2 linked regions of the Drosophila melanogaster genome follow. The protein of the gene in region 1 interacts with the protein of each later gene in a pairwise test. Each region holds a gene or a part of one and is shown on either strand. Other genes may lie near its edges. The genes, in order: CG34386 and PolH.

What was found.
Region 2: the proteins of CG34386 (region 1) and PolH interact in a two-hybrid assay, tested with the Drosophila melanogaster proteins (one large-scale study listed by BioGRID).

The regions. Positions count from the first base shown.
Region 1 is NT_033778.4:18,060,455-18,065,470, reverse strand, and holds the start of CG34386 (uncharacterized protein), read right to left. Parts: upstream 3,057-5,016; 5' UTR 2,550-3,056; coding exon 2,532-2,549; intron 1-2,531.
Region 2 is NT_037436.4:21,937,851-21,943,585, forward strand, and holds PolH (DNA polymerase eta), read right to left. Parts: upstream 3,963-5,735; 5' UTR 3,920-3,962; coding exon 3,488-3,919; intron 3,434-3,487; coding exon 2,937-3,433; intron 2,879-2,936; coding exon 1,150-2,878; 3' UTR 784-1,149; downstream 1-783. Other genes in the region: SLC22A family member, read left to right, coding at 1-404, 470-667. UniProt on the Drosophila melanogaster protein: DNA polymerase specifically involved in the DNA repair by translesion synthesis (TLS). Plays an important role in translesion synthesis, where the normal high-fidelity DNA polymerases cannot proceed and DNA synthesis stalls.

The sequences.
Region 1 (5,016 bases):
CACACAATTTGTTATGTGCCAAATTTGAAACTAGGCTTTTGATTCACTTTAAGCCCACTGATTAGATGGAGAACTTTTACCAAAGTCAGGGGAAAAGCATTGGGCAAATACAAATTATAATAGATGGAGGCAGAAAAGCATGGCTAAAATAATAAACAATGAAAATTTTGGCTCTAATTTCGGGTCATAACACATTTTGCGAACAGACTAGAACCTAATTTAATTCTGTGTGAAAGGCATGGCATGGCGTTTGTTGTTTTTAGCCAAATTTCCTGTGGAAATTCTTGTCATTGCACTTAAATAATGTAAATATAATTTGGCTGTTTGAGCACATTTTATGCGAGACCATGTTTTTTCGGCAATGACGAAAATTGGGGACATGTTTTTGTTTGCCATTTCATTTGGCTGCATTCAGGTGACAATGCAACTAATTATAGTCAACAATGTGGCATGCCCCTTCCAATGTTCCACGCCCCTTGGCACCACTCTAAATAAATCAGAAAGTAATTAAAACAACATGAAATGCGACTGTGAGTTACAGTCGCAGCTTCGGCTGCCGTTTGAGTTCCAGTTTCAGTTTCAGTTGCATTTTCATTTTCATTTTTGTTTCCGTTTTAGTTCCAGCGGAAGCTGCACTTGCCATCCTTGTATTGCGGTGCTACCCATTTAGCAAGCAAAATAAAATGGAAAATGAAATTATAGGGCCAATTAGTTGGTCATTGGATACCCTAATGCAATGCAGGTCTTCTAGTTAGCCAGTTTCCAATAAATCATAAGCTAATTGGTAATCAAATGTGAATCATCAGGCTTTTATCTCATATTAGTATGCATCAACTTTCCATGAACTTTAAATAGTTTAATCCAATCCATATTAATGTAAAAAAGCAATCTATTTCAGAGTGCTTTCTGATGTTTCTTGAAACCCTACATTTTTTTTAAGGGTATACACCACAAAACCAACAATGACAACCATCGGTCGTGGAAACACAGCCTGAACAAAACAAAACTGGGAATAGGAAGTATCTTGGGATGGGTATTCGCCAGGATTCATGGGGAGGCAACAAGAGATGGCCAAAAGAGAAAAATGCAGAAGCAAAACAAACTTAATTTACGCTTATTTGCGTTGACAAATGCTTCCGAAGGAGTGCAACTTTTAATTGCAAAATTTATTTAATTTGCTCATGCGATGCGAAGCTAACTGATTAACACAGAGAATGCAGTAAATGCAGGCGCATTTAAGCCGAATAAAGCAGCGGAATTTTTCAGTTATCAGTAACATCTATTTAATCCGCCGATGGCTTCACATAGTAGGTGTCAGTTTCATGATAATTAGCGAACTACTTCGCTCGAGGGCGGCCATACGTCATGGCCAGTTGTCAATTGGCCGGAACGATTTATGGCCCAGTTTAATCAGCATCCGGCCGCCATAAAATGCGAAATCAATTTTGCCATGGCAAGCATTAAATTCTTTGAAAGTGACGTAGCAAGAAATGTACATTAGTTGTGGCGAAAGTGTGCGAGCGCTTTTTGCAGGCAGTGTTTCATTCTTTTTTTTTTTTTTGCCGCAGGCGGAATTTTCATTAAAGCATTTTTGATGTCTAATTTGCATATTTTTGCAGCTGGCCGAGTTGCATGCCGACACTCTGAGGCAGCCAAGTGACACGTTAAGCATTCAAAAGCGGGTGGAAAACTGGCATGGAAATTGGGCTGTAGAAAGTGGAAAGGCCCACTGCACTCGAAAGAAAAGTGCAAGCTCTTCTCTGCTGTCGGCGATGGCCGGCTGTCACTCGCTCCTCCACTGATGTTCTGCTCTTCTTCTCTTCTCCGCCATGGCTCAGATTTTGGCCAGGACAAAGTGTCGAGTGGCAACACTAATTCGCATGCTGCACGAACAACAGCAGCAACATGGAAAATGCACACAAGCCCATCCCACCCTTCCACTGAGGTTTTTTTTTTTTGTTTGGATTTTCAGCTAAATTTGTGCCAGCGCTTTTCCCGCTCGCTTTTTGTTAATTTCCAATTTTCAAACCATTTCTGGCTGACTGTGTGCACAGCTGCTCTGTCTGTGTGTTTGTGGGCGGGCTTGTGGGTGTGGGTAGTTTCGGTCAACATTTCGTTTGGCTCATGGCATTAATTCAATTACTGTTTGCATATTGCCAGAGATCCAAGCTCATGTAAGTTTTATCGTTACCGGGCAAAAGGAGTGTTGGTGTTGCACTCGCATTCTTGCGAGGAGAACTTTAAACTGTTCCCCCCAAAACTGCAATGGGCTTATGAAGCAGTGCGAGTAAAATCACACAGAGTTTTAGAAAAAATCTGGATTTGAAACTGACGGGTAAGAGGGCACCGCATGCAAATATTTTTATCAGAAAAACTCTCTTTAGAGTTGGGTTTTACATCTTTCAGAATTTCGAGCTAAGTATTCATGACTTTATAATCGTTTTCAGTGGAGCAAATAGTGAAGTGGAGAAAGAATTCCCAAATTTGTATTTCTATTATTTGTTCGTACACAACAGATATGTTGAACTTACCAATGCTTTGGAACACATGACGCAACAATGCAAATGGCTTCTTTTGATTTTTGCGAATATTCAAGGAACCTGATGAGTCTGGGGATATTTTCAAAGACAACTGACAGATCCTTGTTTCATATTTTGTAGCTGTAGAACTTATTTCCATATATTTCAGACACCGAAACAAATTTCTCTAACTTTTCACCGACGGTTCGGAGCGATCGCGACGCGATTTTGTTCAGGCTTCTGCGAATTGGTATTGGCCTTTGGTGCGAATGAGCCACCAGAAGCCAGATGCTTGGCCATTTATAATGTTGGCCAGAAGTGTTAGCCGTGGTTTAGCGCCATGGCCGATGCTTTGGCTAGATATGCCACCTGTTGGTATACAGGAGAGCGATTGACATTGGGAGCGGAAAAGCCAGCGGAACGCTCAAACTAATTACTCCCCTATCAAAGCCTGTAAATACAAGCGTGGTCAGTGAAAAAATTGCCGGAAATATGCAAATTATTTGATAATAGAATAAACTAGATGGATTTAATTAAATTAAATAGGTATGGTAATATCAATACTTTGTTTATATATTTTTTCAAACTACCATGGGTCTGTTTTTGTACTTTCTCTTTCTTTAATGAACCAAAAAAAGTGACTGCTATTGTGTTGACCTCCATTGTAGCTACATAGTAAGAAGGATAAAGCTGGACGCCACTGTCGGCGTCGTCATCAGCGGCATTATATAAAGTGCATACCAATGTAGAAGGGGCAACTAACTGAGCGGTGGCAGCTTGCTTATCGCCCCGCAAGTGTCGGCAGCAAGAGGGAGATAGGGATAGTTCGGCAAGAGAGAGAGAGAGAGAGAGAGAGATAGAGAGAGAGAGAGAGAGAGATAGGGAGCGAGGGAACAGGAAGACGCACCCACACTGCAGTGGAATATCCCGCCGCGCTGATAACATTTGAATTTTTGGCTTGATTTATGGCCATAACATGAAACTAACTCACTGACATATCGGAACAAGCTACAACAAAAAAAAAAAAACCAAACCAGCACTGCGATAGTACAACAACAACCACCGTGTATATCTATGGCAATTTTCACGCTGACGCAAATTGAATCGAGTTATTGGGGCATATTCATTAGCTTGTCTTAAAGTTTCACGAACGTCGACAGCTGATGCCCGAGCTAAAATTAGCTTTTGATATCTTTCATTGAAGCACAGGTAATTTCATAGATAAATTCTTTTACCCCTTTTCAAGCGGAAATCATTGAAATGCCAAATAAAATGACAGATTTCGTCTGTCATCATGTTTTTCTGACATTTTTGCATACACCCTAATAAACTTTTCAGCCATAACTTCTTAAATCTTTCAAATTATAATAACATTTAAACAATTTAAGTATATTAAGTTGAGTTTTTTTTCTTAAGATTGAAATTGGACTTGTTGAGTTAAAAAACCGAGCAAATGTGGGAAGATGCAGTTTTCCTCTCGTGTTATTTCTTTCCGGATGAACTTAGCATTTTTCAAAGCTGCTTCACATATTTGCAAAACGTTTGCTTTTGGGTTAAGCCCTTTTATTGCATTCTGCAGATGGCGATGTGACGTTGTGCCATTACTGACCCTCTGCCACTCCCTCGGCTCCTTCACTTAAGATCTAATAAACTTTACATTTGTTTGGCTTGGTCTACCCTCATTCAGTCTGCTGCCTGATATTGCCCAGTCTGAGCGCAATTTTTTTGTGAGGTTCTCGAGAATAGCAATTTTTATGCGAAGTCCTCATCTGCTGTTGGCCAACTTGCCTCCATTGTTGACTTCTACGTAATGCCTGTGCTTTTTGTGGCTTTTCGACTATTTCGCTCCTCACTCATTTCATTTCATTTTAGGACATTTACTTGGTCCATAAGTTTGTCAGTCAGACTTTTCACTGCCTGTTTCCTGGCTCCTCGGCACTTTGACATCTTAAAGTTTATCAAATAGTGGCCACAAGTTTTGCAGCTTTTGTGTATGTATATATATTTTCTGCGGTCATGCTTTGCGGTTTCTTCTTCTCGTTTCTATATTTATTTATGCAGATCTCTATTTTTCCACAAACTTCTGCTTCTGTTTTCGCCTTTTTGTGCACCGAATGCATAACGGGTTTTAGTTGAATAGCTTTATTTCACCATCATTTTTGCAATTAAAAATTATTATTTCAGCATACAACGCGGTGTATACGGTGTATGCTATATGCATTTTGCAGCGGCTTGGAAAATTTTTAATTAGATTGCGTTTTACTGGAATGCTTACTTCACCATGACCCACTGAAATTCGAGTGCATTCCACGGGTGTATCCACGACCAAGGACAAGGACAAGTACATTTCTATTATTACCACCTCCGTGTGGTGGATCTGGTTTAATTAATTTCGGGACTGCAGCTTGTCAGTTATACAACTTATACTGCATGCGTGTGATATAAGCTGCCGACTGCCGTTATCAGCGTATAATCATTATGGATAGTGACGCACATC
Region 2 (5,735 bases), on another chromosome or scaffold:
TCTGCTGGATTGTCCACGTGCTGGTCTACTACGGATTGAGCCTTAATGTTGTGCTGTTGGATGGAGACAAGTACAATAACTTCGCTTACATCGCCCTGGTTGAGATTCCAGGCTTCTTCATGCCCCTGCTCATCATGGACCGTTTCGGCCGGCGGTACTCCCTCTGCGGGCTGATGCTAGCCAGCGGTCTTTGCTGCATCGGAACGATATTCACCGGCGCGGATCAGCCAGTGCTTCAATTGGTGCTATTTCTTGTTGGCAAACTGACCATCACTGCCAGCTTCCAGGTGCTCTATTTCTTCGCCTCAGAGATCTATCCCACGAATCTGAGAAACAGTCTGCTTAGCTTCTGCTCCATGATGGGCAGGTTTGGTTCCATGCTGGCCCCGCAGACGCCTCTTCTGGTGGGTGCTCAAAGCTACAAGGATCTCCTGTTATATCTAAGTGCTTCCTTTCCCTTTCTCCACAGGCCAAGTATTATGCCAATGCTCCTGCCATGCTCTTCGCCGGCGCCGCCATCGTGAGCGGCCTGCTCACGCTGTTCTTTCCAGAGACCACCAACGTAGTTTTACCTACAACAGTGCAGGAAGCGGACGCCATAGGCGTCAAGAAGCAATCGAAGAGCAAGGATCTTGATCTAGTCGTCACGGCCACTCAAGCGCAGTAGTTCTAACGTAATCTTATTTTAAGGCAGCCTGCAAATACAAAGACAAATACATTTCTCTTCAAATGTGTTATAACGCTAAGAACAAACCATACTATACATATAAAATATTTAGCATTGACAGAGCGTTGTGTTTTATTAATTAACGGATGGATGGTAATGGTAATGATCAACATTAATACTTAAGCCTAAAATTGGAAAAATAAAACAAAAAAAATTAAATCTAAGAGTTTCATTACTCGATTTGAAAAAAAAAATAATAAACAGCAGTAAAAAAAAGAAATAAACAATCCTAATCAATTTGCTGTCCAGAGCCAGATTGAGATTTTAATAACTAGGATATGTGCTAGCAAAAAATTATTATTGTTTTTTAATTTGGAATTGAATGTGAAAATGTTTTAATCTTAAAGTGAAGTAAATTTGTCTGTGGTCCATTCGTAGGTACTTATACAGGTTCAAATACTTGGAGCGGTGTAAGGGTTTCTCTAATTGCTTTGGCTGAAAAACTGGGCAATTGTCTTTGTTCCGCTTGAAGATGCAGAAATGGTTGAGTTCAGTTTCTTCTGAGATTGTTTCTTTGGCTGAACTGGAGATATTTTTTCTTTATTCAGAGCTGCGGTTCGAGTTCGCAGATCCTGCTGGTTTAGTTCACGTTGAAGGTTTCTGGCTACGTGGTAGTCTAAGTGTTCCGGCATGTCTACACACTTGATGAAAGCCTTACACTCGGGGCACTGATTCATCTGTGGATCACTGGGCGCTTGCTCCTGAGTTGGTTTGGCGCGGAAGAACTTGGTTATGCTGTTACTCGGTGGTGCCGTACTGTAGGAACTGCTACCAGAACCAGCCGTCTTCTTGCTCTTTTTGGGTGGCGTCGGCTTAAGAGATATCTTCTGTCGGCTCTGCGTCCTCTCTTCCCGCTCGGTGCTTCTTAGCGTTCGGCTTAGTTCCTGGGCGAAGTGATGGTCTCTATGTGTTTGTAGGGACTTAACTTCGTCGGGAATGTTTGCTCCGCACTGATCGCATTTGATAGTAGGCAAGATATCGGTGCGAAGGTTGGGTACTGCAAACTCTACGTAACACTCCTTGTAATTACTTACAGAACTTTCGATCTCATCGAACTTTCTTTTTGATGTTGAAGGCTTCAATTCGTCTTCAGTAAGCGTGGGAGGCACAATACCAGTTTCAACGTATAAGTCATTCCCTGTTGAATCATTCAAGGTGTTTGGATCCTGTTCTTGTCCGGCATCGGATGACTGTCCTTCAGGCTTAGACATGTGGGTATCACTAGTTAACTCCGTCTCCTCTTCAGTGTCTTCTTCAAAATCTTTCGAATTGTCAGCCTCAATGGCGTCCAATTCCTCGGCCAGCTCCTGCACATCTAAGGAGTCCTCCCTCGATGTAACCGACCCTTGCTGTCCTGTCTTTTTTTGTTGTTTTAGGTACTGTGAAAAAAAGCTTTCCTTGAACTCCGCTGGTGTTGATGTGAGAACAGTTCCTTCAGTCCTTACGGCCGCATGAAGCTTATGTTTGTATTCCTCTACGAAATTCTTGTTTGGAGCACCTGCTGCAGCAGCCAAGGGATTCGCAGAAATGCCGTCTGCTTTCGCATCCTCTTTTTTAGCTCCTTGCAAATAGTTTGCAAAGAAGCTCTTCATCTTAAATTCGTCCGTTTGCTTCTGCTTTTTCTCCATTTCAACTTTAGGCAGTTGCCCTGGCTCATCTCCACTTACCCTTCGTTTCTTGGCAGCCTGGTTAGCAAACATCTCCTGCAGCTTGTTTTGCCCACTAGAGACGGTTTCGAACTTGCCAACACTAATGCCAAGGAACTTGATAGCATTGTTTAAAGCAGACTCGCTACCAGGACGCAGAAACGTTTTAGTGTTTGCCTTGATTAGGTCTAGAGAAAGCCTTACGATGGACTCCTGGTCGTAATCTCTGAGAGCAGTCGAGCGGGAGCTGGCCACCTCCTCGCCGTCAATGTCCTGCACATATTGCACCACCATATGTTTGGCCCTGCGATTGTTCTCGATGAAGTCCTTCTCAAGGCGGTCGTTGATCTCGGAGGAAAGCTCACCAAGCCAATGTTGAAGGGTTTTCAACCCCGTAATGTTATTTCGACCCGGAAACTTTTTACAGCAGCCAATGCTTTTCGAATAGAAGCGGGGAGTCACGGCTTCCAGGTCTATGCCGCGAGAGATGTTAAATAGCCAGGTTCTGGAATAAGAGGAAATAAGTTACTTTGAACGTGGTCTACTCCTCTTAAGGGACCCACCCATTCTTCTCGTCAAACTTGCGCTGCAGATCTACCTCCGAAAACTTGACCACCTGGCCCATGAACTTTATGCCTAATGTCTCACACACCACCTCACCGAATTTGCCACCCAGCCCCTTGATCTTGCCAACAGGCAAGGAGTCGAAGAGGCTGGCGGTCTCCGTCAACGGCAAAATAGTCTGCTTGTTGGGCTTGTTCATTCCAGCTGCCAACTTGGCCAGGATCTTATTGTGCGCTATGCCAGCCGAGCACTCGTAGCCTGTCTCTTTTTTTACAGCCGCGCGGACTTCACCTGCCACAGAGGCTCCAATAAGAAGCCGAATGTCGCTTTGTCGGACGGCGGGAAGGTCGTTTTGGTCGTAGGACATCTGGTAGCGTTCGTCGTCCATGTAGGGATTGGCGAAGCGATTTGTTATCTTGTTGACGTAGTCGCCAATGCTGGGATAGCCCACAGCAAAGGTGTTCACCAGTTCCTGCGGTTGCAATGCAAAGGCTCCCTGCAACGAGGAAAATAATAATAAAACGCTTTAAAATTATGTGCCAGAGCTTACACTCTGCATCTGCTGCATGCGATGGTTAACGGTCTCCGTTATGTCCAAGTACGCCTCATCCACGGAAGCGCGCTCCAGGAGCTGCGTAAATCGCTGCAGCACGTTGGCCACCTCCTTGCCGGCATCGCGGTACTTGCTAGTATCGGCCTTCTCCCGGATATTCGGCACCTGGCAGAGCACGATCTCCGGACACAGGTCCTTCGCCTCGTCGCCGCGCATGTGGCGAGTGACTCCCTTGGCACGAGCGGCGTAGTTCACTGCTATGATGCCGCCACCTCGCCAGGGATTGTACTGGACGACGGCCAGCGGGCGGTTGCGGTATTCCGGATGCTGCTTCTCCTCCACCTGGCAAAAGAAGCAGTCCATGTCCACCAGCAGGACCACGCGGTCGTACTTGTTCTGCATGCTGACATGGCTGCGTGCGCTGGACATGATTTCATTTCGTATTATTGCGCGAATTTCACTGCGCGCCAGGAGTGTGGCCGTGGCGGGGACTTCTTAAAATACCGATGCATTTTTGAATACTGAATACATTAAAGTGTTTCCCATATTTAAATCTGATAAAAGAATTCGGAATAATAATAATAAAAATATGCTCTTTAACACATATCAAAGCAGTTGTGTTATATCTTCGATATAAATCATTTCTTAGTTAGATATTCCTTAAAGTAAAAGTAAAGAATTTTGTTGAAAACATATTTTCGATAGTAGTGGAGCTTTATACTTTTAAAGACTCTCTTATTACTAAGCTATTTAGAAATTCAAAATTAGAGAGTATTAAATAACGTACCCTTGTATCGATGCTTTGTAGTCTAGCGTAGTTTGAAAAATACTTATCTCTACCCAATCCGTACTTCGCATTAGAGCAAAACCTGGTCACACTATATTGGATATTTTATAGTTTGTCGTTTCTCACTCGGAAATAATATAAACAAACGCGAGTAAATATTATGTGCAGTCCGGGGAGTCCTGGGAGTTATATTTACGTGGCATAACTACCACCTAATAATAAGTAACATATATTGTCGGAACATCTACGCCGAAGAAGAATGCATTTCAGAAATCCTTAAACCCTGTCTTCTGTTTTTCTGTATGGAATAATAAAACGAGTTTAAACGTAAGACATTGCCAAAGAGTAAATTATTTGCCAAGTTTCCAGCGGCACCTTCTAACAAAATGCTTAGATATTGATTTTTCCATATAAGCCGCTGCCAAAATGCAACTGAAAACGCACACACATCTCTTAGTGACCCCATTCCCCGCCGTAACACACATTTGCATGTTCTGGCTTCTCCATTTCCCAAGTTCATTTGGGTTAACGCACGGATTACGCGGGAATTATTGATTTGACCGAGCGACCAGAAATAAATCTCAATCCTTGTCTATTTCCGGCTATGCCACTTCCGTGTCCGCCTCCTGGCCGGCTGTTTTGATTGATGCGCCGAGTGGTATGTCCAGCGAATGTCCAATGGCTTAATTGGGCTAACTCACGTATAGCTACTCGGAATCGGGGTTGGGATACCGGGCCCACTTTAATCGCCTCATAGAATGCCGGTGGTGGTGGGCGGCGGAAATCAGGAAGGGCGTGTTTTTGTATACTATCGTGACCTAATTTCCTGTCTGTTTACTCTATGGTCAAAGCGTACAATACAACAACGCAGGACTTCCACCTGAAGTAAAGGTGCAGCACTGACCTATTGGAATACTTGATGCCGCACGACGTTGGGACGGGTTCTTGTTTTACCAAATGTACCACTCTCTCTTTTAAAAAAGGTGTTCAAAAGTTCGATTGCATATCTATGATTCTGAAAGACGGATGGTGAATGAAAAAGGTGTACTGCGAGTGATATTTTTGGATTTTCAATTTAAAATGTATTTATCACAGTTTTATTTGCTTCCCTACTTTTTGTGACTCCAGATAGTATACATACATATATCGTAGATTAACAAAATTTTTACCGATTAAAGATTTAATTTTGATCGCGACTTTATCTACAATCCCGAAATATTCTGCGGCTAACTCTTATTAAATTTAAGTGCTTCACTTTTTAACTGCCCTATCCTAGCCTAGCTTGCCCATATGCGCTAGCCTTAGGCCTCATCGGCACATCCACTCTTCCGATCCCTAACCCCAGTATAAGCGCACAATTATGCTAATGGTTCACATGCCCAAATAAGAACCACTTGAGCCCCGCTAAGCGGTCCGCCAATCCACTGTCACTCGGACTTCTCCCTTTCTCTGTCCCAC